2 linked regions of the Callithrix jacchus genome follow. The protein of the gene in region 1 purifies or fractionates together with the protein of each later gene. This does not show direct contact. Links are inferred from orthologs where the notes say so. Each region holds a gene or a part of one and is shown on either strand. Other genes may lie near its edges.

What was found.
Region 2: the proteins of TNFRSF1A (region 1) and MAP3K7 purify together in Homo sapiens (affinity purification with western blotting; 7 studies listed by BioGRID, with this or other methods). This does not show direct contact. The link is inferred for Callithrix jacchus from reciprocal best matches to the Homo sapiens genes TNFRSF1A and MAP3K7.

What each region holds. Positions count from the first base shown.
Region 1 is NC_133510.1:19,948,136-19,952,389, reverse strand, and holds the start of TNFRSF1A (tumor necrosis factor receptor superfamily member 1A), read left to right. Parts: upstream 1-1,195; 5' UTR 1,196-1,467; coding exon 1,468-1,506; intron 1,507-4,254. Other genes in the region: uncharacterized protein LOC144577746, read right to left, coding at 791-851, 954-986.
Region 2 is NC_133505.1:96,645,950-96,649,764, reverse strand, and holds part of MAP3K7 (mitogen-activated protein kinase kinase kinase 7), read left to right. Parts: intron 1-2,820; coding exon 2,821-2,945; intron 2,946-3,815. UniProt on the Homo sapiens protein: Serine/threonine kinase which acts as an essential component of the MAP kinase signal transduction pathway. Plays an important role in the cascades of cellular responses evoked by changes in the environment.

The sequences.
Region 1 (4,254 bases):
ACAATGGCTCACACCTGTAATCCTAGCACTTTGGGAGGCTGAAGTGGGCAGATCTCTTGGGCCCAGGAGTTCAAGACCAGCCTGTGAAACAGGGTGAAACCCCGTTTCTACAAAAAACACTAGTCCCAGCTACTTGGGAGGCTGAGGTGGGAGGATTACTTGAGCCCAGGAGGTCGAAGCTGCAGTGAGCTGTGATGGCACCATTGAACTCCAGCCTGGGAAACGGGGTGGATCCTCAAAACAAAAAAATGAAAAACAAGCAAACGAAGAAATGAAAAAAACCTATGGGGTTGGAGTAAATGATCTCTAGGGTCACTTATAATTGATGTATTAGAATATTTGGGAAAAGGGCCTTGGGAATATATGAGGAACACCTGATAGAAATACCTTTATTTCCACAGCAGCTTCGTGTGTCTCATTGATCCCCATGGCATCACTTTCCACATGTAGTGGGCAGGCATTGTTGCCTCTATTTAATAAATGAGGAACCAACAGAGGCTGAGGAGAGGAGTTGCCTGATGCCCCATGCTTGGTGGCAGAGCCAGGATCAGCAGTGGGGCAGTGGGGCAGGGAGACCTGACCAGGCAGAGAGTGGATGAGACCTGGGGTAAGTAGTGGCAGGGACCCAGTCAGGACAGAAAACGAGGGTTAAGGCTTACTTTGAGGTTTGGATTGGACAAGTAAATTCCCAAGAAAGAGGGAGGCGTGGAGGCTAGTGAAGAACTCCGGAGTAAATAAAGGGGAGTGCCAGTAAGGGACGCGGAGTACCTGCGGTGTGGCAGACACTTACCTGTATCTCTCCGGTCTGAACGAATCCTCACAGGAACCCCAGGAGACAGGTTATCTCCACTCTGCAAATTGGAAAACAGACCCAGAGAGGTTCAGTTATGTGACCAAGACCACCCAGCTAAGAAGCTAAGCATTCTGAACTGGAACCCAGTGACTCTGACTACCAAGCTCTGGGTCTCTTCACTGCTGTGTTCCATTTGGGAAAAGCTGGTGATGGGGGAAGGGGCTTATTGCACCCTGGTGTTTGGTTGGGAGTGGTCGGATTGGTGGGTTCGGATTGGTGGGTTCAGGGTGCAAGGCAGCCGGATCTGGGATTCCTGTGCTTCTGACTGGGGCTTACAAAGAGTTAACCCGCCTCCCGCCTCCTCCTCCAGCTCTTCCTGGTGTGCTGTTGCAACACTGCCTCACTCTGCCTCACTGTTCTCCTCCCACCTCCTCTCTCCTCCTCTCTAATTTCTCAGAATTCTCTGCACCCGGGCTCCAGTTCTAGCCTTTGGGGTTCAAGATCACTGGGACCGGGCCGTGGTCTCTATGCCCGAGTCTCAACCCTTAACTGTCATCCCAAGACACTTGTGACGTCCTGGACAGACCGAGACCAGACTCGGGAAGCCTCCTGCGCTGCCACTGCCACACTGCCCTGAGCCCAAATGGGGGAGTGAGAGGCCATAGGTGTCTGGCATGGGCCTCCCCATCGTGACTGACCTGCTGCTGCCACTGGTGAGACCAGGGAGAAAGGGAAGAGTGGGTTGGTGGGCGAGGCCCTGCCCGGCCAGCGTGGGCACTATCCAGGAGGGGGCTGAGCCTCTCCTGCCCCAGCCTGGCTCTGGCACGAGCCTCAGGCCAGCAGGTCCTAACGTCAGCCGCTGCCAGTGTGGGGTTCCCCATTCATCCGCCTTTTGGAGTAGGGGCTGCGCTGAGGCAGGGCAGGGGAACTGGAGAAGTTCGAAAGGGAGAGAGTAAAAGGAAGCCCTGGCCCCTGACAGCGTGGGAGTTTGCCGGAGTTTGCCGGAGTTTGCCGGAGCCGCGGGAATGGGGGCAGGTGATAGGTCCAGGGTGGGGCAGATTTGGCGGGGAAAGGAAAGGAGTGGGAGTAGGAAGGTTAGTGCTCCGGGAGCCCAGACAGTTCTGAATTCTGTCCCTGTCCCTGTGGTCAGCTGGCTGGCCTGGAGTGTGTCGGGCTGTGGGGAGGCCAGGTTGCCTATGGAGGCTGGCTCAGCACCGCCTGTAGGGCAGGAGTAAGGTGGCTAGGGAAGTGGGGAGAGTGAGTCCAGGCGTGACGCATTGGTGTGGTGGGTTTGGGATGCTCGTGGGGGGAGGTATTTGAGAATGGGCTGGGACACTGGATGGGGCAGGGCAACCCAGTAAACAGTGCCCCAGTGTCCCGGCCTCTCACCTGGGGGCATTCCTTACCCTTCTGCCTGCTGGTAGGCAGGTGCTTCTGTGGGACTGACTCTTCACAGGGAGCTAGCACTACCCCCACCTGGAAAGTGTCCTTGGGCCTGTCCTCCAGCCTCCCCTCCCCCACCCCCTGCTTCCCACAGACCTAAACAACAATCCCTTGGTTTCTGATTCTACAGTTCAGTTTGGGGAAGTTGGTAGAAAGTTGTTTCGTCACTGGAAAATGTCCCTTTCTCTGACCTCGGCCTTGTTTCAATGTATCCTTGATCACCCTCCATGTCTTGGTCAGGGAATCATCCCGTTCAGTCGCCCTGGGCCCATCAAATCGGGCAGATTTTCTCTGCCCTGTTGTGGCCTTGCCCTGCCCGGCCTCTGAAAGCTGTGCCTACCTCCTCGTTCTTATGCTCTTCCACTCCCACCATTCCCTTCTTTCCAACAATCTCCCCACACTCTCCACAGACTTCCAAGAGCCTCTTTTTTAAAATCTTTTCTCTGTAGTACCCTTGCACCTCCTCTCTACTCCGCTCTGGTCCCACATTTCCAGCCCCAGGTCCCCAAGCGGCACGTCTCCGTCAGGGTCTGACTCTTCTTCTCCCTCCTCCTGTCTCCTTAGTTTCACCCCATCTTCCCTTCTCCCCACTGTCCTTCACCCAGACAGCTGCCCTGACATCCTGCTTCTGTTTTCTGCTTGGGGTGGCCCTGGCTCTCCCACGTACCAGTGGCATGAGCAAGAGCAGGTCTTATAACCTAAGCTTCCATGCTTTCGTTTCTTTATCTCCAAAATGGGTGTCATAGTCATGACCTCATACTGTTCTGAAAATTGACTAGACTGATACATGCTAAGCGTTCATTCGATTTAATTAAGCGCGTGCTCTGAGCTAGACACTGTGATAGAGAACAAAATCCCTGCTCATAGCTTTGTCAATCGGGGGAATAGGCTGTAGCAAGTAGAAAGCACTCAATAAAGGTTGTATGTTGCTCTGATTAGTAGTAATTACTCGGTGGCTGCCTGTCTGGAAAACAGAGGCTAAAGGTAGCAGGAACAGGTAAAGGAAAGTGCCTGAGGCCTGGGTGCTTCAACCCAGGTGGGATTATGTTGCCTAAGGGATAGAAGCCTGGTCTGGAGTTGGGGGAAAGGGGAAACCAAGAGAGTGCAACATCTTTCTGAATTTCTCACCATTCACTGGGCAATGCAGAGCTCACAGTGTGTGATCGTGTGTGTGTGTGTGTGTGTGTGTGTGTGTGTGTGAGAGAGAGAGAGAGAGAGAGAGAGGTGGGGTAGGGGACTAGAGAAGAATGATACAGGAGAGAGTGTGGCAAAGCAAACGGGATTTTGCTGCTCTCCACGAGCTTACAGCCTAGGAACCAAGACAGCTTACAGTGAAAAATGATTTCAGAGCAATCCCGAGGAAAATGCATGGTGATGTGGTGTCCTGAGCAGCAGTGGAAGGAGGAAGAACTGGGGAGCGAGATGGGCCTTTGACCACGGCCCTGCCTTGCTTAGTAGGTCTCAGCTCCAGCTCTCAGTGTCACAAAATTCAGGAGCTTCCCCAGGCTGCTTCGGTGTCCTTCACTGTGCAACTGGAGTCTCCCTATATAGATTTCAGGGCCTATGACTGTCTTTGACCCAACTGAGAGCTCTTTTTCGTTTGTTTGTTTTGAGATGGAGTCTCACTCTTGTTGCCCAGGTGGGAGTGCAATGGCGTGATCTCGGCTCACCGCAACCTCCACCTCCCAGGTTCAAGTAATTCTCCTCCCTAGTAGCTGGGATTATAGGCCTGTGCCACCATGCCTGGCTAATTTTGTATTTTTTTTAAGTAGAGACGGGGTTTCACCATGTTGGTCTGGCTGGTTTTGAACCCCTGACCGCCTTGGGTGATCCACCCGCCTTGGCCTCCCAAAGTGCTGGCCGAGAGCTCTTGAGAGCACGAGCTGTGTATTACCCACCTCGGCCTCCCTAGCACCCACACAGGACCTGTCACATAAACTGTGCCCCTTAACTATTTGCCGAATGAATTAAAGAACAAGAGATGGGTCAGATGGGATGAGGGAGGGAAAGCCTCATAG
Region 2 (3,815 bases), on another chromosome or scaffold:
ATCTGGGTAGAAATTAAAAATATTCTGCAACTCTTTATAATATGAATCCTTGGGACTTTAAAAAACTTACAAATTGTTTAGATAAGTATTTTAAAGGACTAAAACTTTGGGGTTTTTTTATATATAGGTATTTGGTTAACGAAAACATACACATAAAACACATTGTTTACTTTTCTCTCTTTTTTTCTTTTATGCACCTGTGACAGAGTAAAAATAGTCTCCACATACCTTCTTTACTCTCCCCCAAGCTCCCACCCCAGCACATTAGTCTTTACAGAAGAGGTTTCCCTTAGGAAATCAGTACAGTCTTCAGTTATTTCATTGTCTTGATACTGGCTTAAAGCATTAAAACATCCCTTCTGGGTATAACTTGTCACTCTCAGGTCTAATCTGATATACTCTACATAGGTTCCAACTCTTAAAATCACTGTTCTTGCTAGTGTATCTTATCTCTACTCCTAAGCTTAAACTGATTTCTATTTCCCCAGGTCACTGATAAAATAATGATTAAGCTTTTACTTTTCCTGAGGCTATTATCTTAGTTACCTGCCGTAACTAATGAAGAAATCACTTAGCCTTTTTTCCTGGTTATGAATATTCAGTCGTCCATTTCCCACTGTATTAACAGAGTTGAATTATTAAAGGAGACTCAAGAGAATCACAGCTCTTAACCAGAACAAACTGCCAAATAATCCAAAGGTTATAGGCAAGCATCAGGTACAGCCAAAGCATTCTTTTCCCAAAAGAGCTTGAACACATCTGATGCAACTCCCAAAAGTATCTTTTTTCTCCTCATTACTAGGTGTTTTGGCTTTGGAATAAATGATTAGTTATTAAACAGTATATGGAGAAATAGCTTACGAAAGGAAGTCATTTCCATTTTCTAACATCTTTTACATTGCACTAATTACACAGCTTAACTACTATCCCCAATCTTCTACCCCATAAATTTTATGTTTGTTTAATCAACCTAGTTCAACCAGATATATCCTTCTAAAATCATTTATAGATAGAGATTCTCCTTTTGCTAGTAAATACAATTAACATATTTATAGAAGGTCTGGTCTAGGTCATTTATTCCAGGCCTCTCCATTATTAGATTCATCTTGCAAATTGTCTTTAAAGCCCCTGGTATACAAGTTGGACTTTAGAATCAGAATTGATTTCAATTCAGAAAGCACTGAGGAAAAGAAAATTCGTTGGAATGACTATGTTTTTGCATACAATTGGGTATACATGAATACCTGCTTATTGTCAGTGGAAAACCTTAGCGTCAGTGGAAAACCTACAGATTCTGTGGTCAGGAAGAGTTCCTCAGAATGGATCTAAGGAAGGTACCTGATGATCTAGGGAGATGTTTTATATACTATCAAGTTGTGCTTGTGCCCATATTTTATCTTTTACAAGTTTACTCACATGTACATTAGAAATTAATGTTTTTAGTCTTAACTGTGTGAAAGTAAGCCTACAAAGATACTTTAAGTTCAGATTTCAGTGAGCCCTGAATTTCATGTTCAAGGCTGGTGAACTTTTGAAGTCAAATAAAGGAGTACTAACATAAAAATCATTCAGGAAAATTATCTTGAATTATCAGAAATTATCTTGACTTCTTTTTTTTTTCTTTTTTTTTTTAGAGACAGGGTTTCACCATGTTGGTCAGGCTGGTCTTGAACGCCTGACTTCAGCCTTTCAAAGTGCTGGGATTACAAGCGTGAGCCACCGCACCCGGCCTTGATATCTTGAATATACCAGTATAAAACAAGGAAACCAGTTACAGAGTTCTTATCATTTTCTTGGGTAAAAAGTATAAGAGTTTGAACAAAACATTGAGATGGGGGTAAAATTTTTTTTTGTTGAACTACCTACAAAGGTAAACTGGATTTAGCATTCTTTTCACTGGAATGATTATGAGTCTTTTTGGTATTATGGAACTGTGAGTAGTAGTTTATCTGACTTATTTTAGTCACACTGGACTAAAAGAGAAGAAATTTCTAAATAACCTCTTCAGATATAAAAAGTTTTTAAAACTTAGAATTAAAATGAATTCCTATGTATTGCTACTGGATACTACTACAGTGTGATTGTGGAAATTATATTTGCACGTTCTATGTGAATAGAAATGGCCATTGCTATTTCTGTTTGTCATGAAAAGCAAAATCTTGTAAGTGTATGCTACTTGGTGATTGTGGTTGATTAATAGTGCACCTAGGAAAGTCAGAATCTTAAGTTCAGAAAATTTTCCAGAAATCTTTCATTAGGTTATTTAGCTGTAAGAGATTTTTATTCCTCCCACACATACATATTCTAAACATAAAAATTGTTTTGAGATTGAACATTTTTAGAAGTATCAAAATAGAGATTTAAATTAAGGACCATTTTTTTCCTTCTATATTAGCCTATTTTCTTTAATTAAATTACCTAGTGTTACTATTTTTTTAAGTAATACATATTTATGATTAAACTCCCATTTCAGGACACCATAATGTTGACCTACTAGAAGTCTTTTAAACCCCACATTTTATTTTGGCCAGAGAGAAGTATGGTCAGGAAAGATTATGGAGCTAGACATGAAGACATCAAAATGTGAGTCTGGCAGCCTTCCAAAGAGAGCTAGGTTATGGCCAATTAATTTCTGCTTATATTACTCCAAACTGTTAGGCTTTTATAGTGACCAAGTAAGTTGATCATTTCACAAAGTTGAATGATAACATTCATTTTGCTTAATCTTTTCCATTTCCACAAATGTCTCTTCTTTTATTGTAGAATTTTTTTTAATGTTTGGCCTTAACAATTTTTGATATTTTTGTTTTTTTAAAACAGCTTACTGCTGGTTGCAGGGGGGACAGTTCTAAAAATTTGTGATTTTGGTACAGCCTGTGACATTCAGACACACATGACCAATAACAAGGGGAGTGCTGCTTGGATGGCACCTGAAGTTTTTGAAGGTAAAATGGCAAAAGTATGGTATGTTTGATAATCTCTCTCATTCCTTGTGAATTCAATATGTGTTTATAGATTTTCCCCATTCCTGGGTTTTATTTCTGCATAATACATCATTTTAAAGTATACAATGAAGTCTAAGGAGGTATTAAATAGTGTTATGTCCTAAATTTTATAGTAAGATGTAAATCTTCTGTGCAGGTTCAAGCATATGTACAGTTGATCCTCATTATTCACCAATTTCATAATTGCAAAATTGCCTATTTGCTAACCTTTATTTGTAACCCCAGAATTAATACTCACAGTGCTTTCATGGTTATTTGCAGACAGTGCTTTCATGATTATTCGCAGACAGTGTAATTTTGAGTCATCTAACACATGTTTCTAGCTGAGGTTAAACAAGATAATGCTCTTCCATCTTGTTTCAGGTCTCATGCTATAAACAGCTGTCCTTTTTGTACTGTTTAGAGCCCTACCTTTTTCATTTTTGTGATTTTTGTTGGTAATTTTGCTATTTAAAATGGCCCTCAAGCGTAGTACTGCCTAAGTATAAGAAGGCTATGATGTGTCTTAACAGACGCTATACATGTGTTAGATTATCTTCATTTAGGCATGAGTGATAGCAATGTTGGCTATGAGTTCAATGTTAATGAATCAACAGTATATATGAATAAGGTGTCTTTAAGCAGAAATACATGTGAAACAAAGTTATATTGATCAGTTAACAAAAATGTAGTGACCAGAGGCACACAGCAGCATAACCCTTTATTTTCCCTAGGAGCGATGATTTGGTGTTCACTAATTCAGTGTTCTCAGAAACTTTATAGAACATAAATACCAGGAATAAAGAGAATTAACTGTGCTTTTTTATTGGT